Schizosaccharomyces pombe: one gene and its partner. The protein of the gene in region 2 interacts with the protein of the main gene of each other region in a pairwise test. Each region holds a gene or a part of one and is shown on either strand. Other genes may lie near its edges.

Region 1 (3,646 bases), 2.8 Mb from region 2:
CGAAGGTTTGATAATGATATTTAGTAAAGTAATTCTAATGTATAGGAATATTTTCTGAGGCGCAAAAAAATGAATGCACATTTCCTGATATACGGTATGCAATTGGTCTATTCATTCAATTCTAATAAGGTGTCTAGGGCAACACTGTTGGAAAAAGTTTGTGAATATTTGCATTACAATTACAGATATAAAAATCAATTAGATATTCCAAAGTTCGATATCCCACCTGAGATGGTTTTAGAATTATTGGTCACTGCGGAATATTTGGAAGGTAAGATTATCATTACTATTTAAAGCTAATGAATACAGCATAATTCTGATTACTCACGAGGAACGAAAGGATTGCTAAATTGCTACAGCATTAAAGAATTGACGGTTTTTGTTTACGATTAACGATTTGATGCCTTAAATAACTATTAAACGCGTTACCTATCGAATGCAAGAAATGAGATGGAAAAAATGTATTATATAACTATGCGGTTTCTAGAAATCTTGTGAGTTACTTTATTTTGGAATTTTCCCCTCTAATAGCATAGCTTCCAGTCGATTTATCTCAGCAATGGAAGAGGCATTTTTAATGGCTTCTTTGATCTTTTCTCTTTCCTCAGGTGTAAGTGTATATCCAGTTGTAATAGGAGAATTCGCTTCTGGGTGGCTTTGTACCAATGCAGCCAAATCAAATACTCGACTTTTCACACCCATAATAGAGGAAGCTATTTCTGTAGGGTTTTGAATTTGACCAAACACTTCTTCAGCACGAAGCCTTTCATTTCTTCTAACCCGTTCGAAATCTAAAATATGTAACGAAGGAATTCTCCATATAAGATATAATCTATAATATTGTTTTTGAGCAACTGGATTGTCAATGCACGACAAATTAGTGAGTTGAGGACAACTAGCCAACGGATCTAAATCTGCTATTTCTTGAAGATGATTTTGTGCTAGGGATAAAGTCTTTAAATTCGGAAGAACTTTACCTATGTCTGGGGCTATAGCAGTTATTCGGTTATTTCCACACAAAAGCGTTTGAAGCCTTTTCATACGAGGGAAATTCCCTAAATATCGAATGTCATTGTCTGTGAAATCAATTGCATCGTGTACGTCCCTTAACACTCCTAAATTTTCAATTATTGGAATCTGATACCCTGTAATTATGAGTTAGCTGGATGACACGTAGCATACAGTAATTTCTTTAAACATATCTTAAATCAAGCTCAGTTTCTTTCAAAGGACTGATGAATGAGGGTACCTGAGACAAAAATTCAGCATTAAGACGCATGAAATTTTTGTAATGAAAATGCCTTTTTTATGCTGTTACTGCAGTATGATTTAAAATTCCTAAAAAATTATCCAAAACGCTCACAATCCTAAATTTCACTATTGTTTATTCAAAAAATGTTATAGTTAACGTTTTAGAATCTAATAATGTAAAGTTAATTATGTAAAAACCAAGAATATGACACGTCAAGAGAAGAAGCAAAGTGGTAGAGTTTGGATAGTAAGCACATAAATAAATACAAAGAAATCTTGACTCAATAAGCAAAAAATACTCACTTTTTCTACTTTTTAGATTTAAAAAAAACAAATTATGCGTAATTATACTTTGATAATTGACTGACGACTTCCATGTTCAAGAATCGGCTTTCGTACTAGAAAATTCTTGGGAAAACAGAGAATAAATGATTTTTGTATATGTGTGTTTTGACACCTTTAAATAAAACATTTTTTCATTGTTGTCAAATATATATCTTAAGTTTGTCAGAAATTGGTACACACTCTTTTATCTGTTGAGCTCTCAAAAACAAACACAAGCAATCGACTATTTGGATGAAACACACATTGTTTTCCACTCAAAGTTTTAGTTCAACTCATCTATAATGTTCATACTGCCTCCCTATTTGACTTCGTGAGCACAAACCGCCAACGAAAGTTTGAAACCAGGTTATTTACAATTATTCAGAGTTGCTTAAGGAACCTGTTTTCCTATTAAAAAATTGCATTGAGATACTTACTAAACTGCTATATCTTTTTGTTTTCTCATTTAATGAAAAACATTCCAAAAACAATATTGACATCAAGTCGTTTTTTAATGTAACAGTTTTAATGAATTCTTCAGATTGTTTCTATCGTATTGCTCTATCTCAATGAAAGCACTGCTAAGAAATTATATTTAAATTGATATGACAGCTTCTAATATCGAATCAACTATCCATCCTCATACTAATACCACATGAGTCGGACTAATTGAAAATGCCAGCGATATCGACAAATGTACATCGACATTTCGGATAATGTTTGGGTTTAGAGTAGCCTCTTTTGTAGTTGAAAGTGGAAGAAATACATGATTAAATGTTGTGCTTCCATAGCTCGTGTACTTATAAATCATACAGTCACTCTTGAGAATATGAAATTAAAAATCACTGCATTTATTCTAACACTTATTCTGTTCCAGTAAGAATTATTCAAACTGAATTTACTACAAAACTACAGATCAATACCCACACATAAAAACCAAAAACAAGTTTTTTCTTTTATTTACAATAGCTTCAACTAAGTATTTTGAAGCTGCTTGTTAGTTAATGCTACAATATGACTGTTTATTTCTATATGCTTAAAAAGAGGATTATATAACATAAGGATGGCCGTGGCTCCACTAACTATTCTTTTGCCGACACCTCCAAATGAAACAAGAATTAATATAAGCAGGAGGAATACCATTCGGCTAGTTATATTAGACTATTTGGGAGCTTTGAAGTCGTTTTTCAAGTTTGCTTACATTCTGATTTATATTAGGTATTATAAGTGAGCCGTCAGCGAAATTTATTAACCGGTGAATGTTTGAAGCGCTACGAGATTAATGGATGACTTAGAATGGCTCGAGAAACTGAATTTAATGACAAAAGTCCCTCTTCCACCGATGATGGTATGAGCCAGTCGCACTTTTCAGATAAACTGAAAAATTTGTTTCACTTTCGTAGGAATCGAGCGGCAACCGTTTCTACTAGTGTCCGAAATGATCAGAGGGATAATGATTCTGATGACTCAACCTTTGATATTAATGTTAATCAATTGAATGAATTAGATCTGAATGATAGTAGCGATCAATTGGATAGTCGTCCCAGCCTTAGACGCGTATCTTCCGCACCTGATTCTCACAAAGGAGTAGAAGCGCCTCCTCCTCGTCCTTTAATTAATATGAGCAATATTCGAAAGGCACAGGTCAAGATTTTAAAAAACCCCGGCAACTACATTTTTGGAAGAACTGAGTACGGCAAACGAACTTATTCTGGGAATAGTACAAAAATTAGCCGAGTAGAAGTCACACCTCATAGTTTTGAAAAAATACGTCTTCTTGGTCAGGGTGATGTGGGTAAAGTGTATCTTGTTCGCCAAAAAAGCAACCATCGGCTCTTTGCTATGAAAATTTTAAACAAAAGAGAGATGATTAAAAGACACAAGGTAAACAGAGTCCTTGCAGAGCAAGAAATTTTGACCAAGAGCAAACACCCGTTCATTGTTACGTTGTATCATTCCTTCCAATCTAGGGACTATCTTTACCTTTGCATGGAGTATTGTGCAGGTGGAGAGTTTTTTCGTGCATTGCATTCCCTTCCAAAGCATATTTTACCTGAAAAGGATGCTTGTT
Region 2 (3,140 bases):
AATAAAAAGTAGAATAGAGAAACAAAACCGAATAAGACTTTATTTTAGGCATTGAAACGATAAACAAACTTTAAAAAATGAAACAAATTTCATAAAAATAGAAATATTTACGCACAAAAACACAAACCGAGTGGAATGTTAAGTAAAGTCAAACTCAAGTCTTCTCTTTTTAAGAACATACTCGTAATTGTCTGCGAGACCTGTTGGCGACCAGACCACATAGCGGCTTATGACACTTGGAGTTAGATCTCCTAAACGAAGCTCATTAGCTGTAAAACACGTTAGCTTTTATACTCTCATAAGCATCAAAGGGCATTGGGAACATACGAGCAAGCATTTGGCAATTTGGTAGTTCATCTTCCACATCATCTAAATAGGCTAGCGCCTTCATAAACTTAGGCGTATTGGCTTCAGTTGAAGGTACCTGAAGGGAATTAGCTAGTCTCGAACACGTCAATTTGAGATATGTACCAAGATTTGGACTTTTTCTGAATCGCAAAAAGCCAATTTTCCATCGCAAGAACAAGTACAGCTATACAAGCTTGATGGAAGAAAATCCAATGCTACATCCTTTCCCATTGTAAGAAAGACGACGAGCGATGTTGAAGCCAGGTGAACAATTCCATCAAATGCGTTAAAGTTCAGTGCCTTGCGCAATGCTAGTTGAGAAAGACTTGCATGAAAAATCCACTAAAATAGCTGTAAACAAGATGATATTGGACTAGAATTTTGCTTCATCTTATAAAACTTAGCAACAATGCGATGGTGTTATCGGTCCGCTTTACTGTCTGCAAACACTGACACCTGAAACAACTAAAACCAACAGGTATATACAGTGAAGAACAAAAAGAGAGAAAAAGGAAAACCACTCTTTATAACTCTCTTGACTCCAACAGGATCCCGAAAAAAGTTACCCTATATAAAACGATAATTGTGAATTTTAGAAAATGTACAGTTTACTCAAGGTCAGCTTCATCACGTAGCCGTTTTAAAGGACCTCTGCTGTCATTTTCGGCGACGATTCTTTCAATAATCTTACTTTTCGAATGAGCGTATTGAATTTTCTTATTAAAGATGTTAGTCAATCGTTTTTGTTTTTTTATGGGGATTAATGAGAAAGCTCATTTCACAGCATACCATTTCCTTTCCGAAGAATATGAAATTTTTTAAGGCCTTCATCGCAATTGCAGCGGCAGAGGGATCAAAGAATACAACATGAGCTTGACCTCTCATCTTGGGAGTTTTCAACGCGACAATATCAACCACGGTCCCATAAGTGGAGAATAGCATATATAGTGCTGTTCTTAAATCATTTTTATTAATTTTATCATTCAAATTATTCACATAAAGTGTATTTTGATTCATTTTCGCCCTAGTTTGGTGTTTTGCAAATGCTGAACTCTTTACCTTATATTTTTACCTGCAAACACTGCGCGCTAACAATCGCTATGAGTTAACTTATTGAATGGATTGTTGAAAAGGCTCGTCTTAATTACATTAAAATGCTAAAGCTTTTACATTTTTAATTTATCTTTTAAGGCTATAAATATCCATATTTAATTTTCCGGAACGAAATATGTTTATTTGCAATTCTACGACCATTGAACGCTAGTCATCTGAATTATGATTCAAGTCACAATTATTTTTAGAGATCCCTTAAATATAATCAAATCGTAACAAAAAATCAACGATAATAATAGTTCACGTTAAAAATCTTTCCCAAGCATTGTGCAGTTGTTGATAGTTTAATCCTTATGTACTCAAATTTCCATATTTAAAAGATTGAAAAAATGTTATTTTTTAGTAGTATAGAAAATAGAGAATATTTTAAGACTAGATGATTTTTTCGATCCACCGTATTCCCACTCTGGGGAAATAATTTTACAGGAAATGCCTTAAAACCCCAGCAAGATTCCTAATCCAAAAACCTACAGCATAGTAACATTAATCAGTAATTCTATATTTTTAAGTAAAGACTTTGATCCTAATTCAACACGTAGCTTTGAGAGTCAGCTTTCCCATTTACATTCCAGTGAACCGAAATGTCCAAATCACGATTGTTTTTTTTATTTTTTGAAAAGGAAATAGTTCCTTCAACACGAGTGCCTTTTTGAAGGAAAGGACGATTACGTAGTAACAAAACGCATTGTTTCCAATGAGTAGGAGTGCCTTGAGGGCCTGTTGTAAATCCACAAGCTTCATCAATAGCTTCTGGAATAGGCTGTGTTCTCTTAGTCGTAAAATACGTATCAAACCATAAAGTGAAAGCACAAAGCGGTCCTTCGTTGTCTATAATTAGAGAGAAGGGGGAAGTAAAACTGACATCTTGAACTTTGCACGTATGCATATTAAACCTTGCAAAAACAACAGGCTTGGCGTTAACATAAGTTTGAGGAACGACTTGTACACTAACACCTTTATAAGAAGCATCCTTCATGCCATTCATTTTGAAACCATACACATCGCTCCAGAAATCAATAGGTTCTTCTAACAATTCAGTGTTTGTGGTAGCTGTAAGTACCAATCGTGTCTCGGACGGTGCCATAATTCCAGAAGGTGCAAGGAAGCGATCTCTGGCAACAAGGACGGAATCAATCATACTCTCAAACGTTAGAGCATAGCCCATCCATTCCGAAATAATGATATCTACCTTGCCAACCGGTAAACTGATATCTTCGATTTTTCCACGAATAAAAGTAATTTGATCAGCAAGACCATTTTCAAAAGCATTTGAGATAGCCATTTGAATGATATCGGAGTTGTCCACAGCATAAACCTTCTTGGCGCCAGCCTTTGCGCAAAACATGGATAAAATGCCAGTACCGCATCCTACATCCAAAACCGTTTTTCCAGCAAAAATATGCTTATTATGATAAACGAAGTCACGGTATCCCTCGGTCCGGACAGAATCGTTTAGCATAAGGAAATGAATATCATTTCCAGCGTAAGACTCGAAATAATAAGAATCGTTATCTGCTTTCTTTGGGGTAACTGATAGCTGATCTGTAGTCTGACTAGTCAATTCATTCATTTTATCTTTTCGAATTTCTTCAAGCTGAGAGATAAGAAGTTGATTTTGTAACTTTAATTTCTTTATTTCTGCATCTTTAGAAACATCTGCTGGATTCTCTACTTCAATT

Evidence for each region. Proteins that work in one complex are often made in the same cells at the same time.
Region 1: the proteins of msl1 (region 2) and lea1 interact in a two-hybrid assay, tested with the Schizosaccharomyces pombe proteins (one large-scale study listed by BioGRID).

The regions. Positions count from the first base shown.
Region 1 is NC_003423.3:4,144,785-4,148,430, forward strand, and holds lea1 (U2 snRNP-associated protein Lea1), read right to left. Parts: upstream 1,487-3,646; 5' UTR 1,280-1,486; coding exon 1,199-1,279; intron 1,138-1,198; coding exon 505-1,137; 3' UTR 501-504; downstream 1-500. Other genes in the region: elc1 (elongin C), read left to right, coding at 1-5, 46-94, 138-271, 310-314; serine/threonine protein kinase Ppk22, read left to right, coding at 2,872-3,646.
Region 2 is NC_003423.3:1,374,357-1,377,496, forward strand, and holds msl1 (U2 snRNP-associated protein Msl1), read right to left. Parts: upstream 1,397-3,140; 5' UTR 1,366-1,396; coding exon 1,138-1,365; exon of another isoform or gene 1,065-1,137; coding exon 957-1,064; 3' UTR 633-956; downstream 1-632. Other genes in the region: transcription factor TFIIIC complex subunit Sfc9, read right to left, coding at 182-269, 328-424, 472-579; ribosomal protein arginine N-methyltransferase Rmt3, read right to left, coding at 1,985-3,140. UniProt on the Schizosaccharomyces pombe protein: Involved in pre-mRNA splicing. This protein is associated with snRNP U2. It binds stem loop IV of U2 snRNA.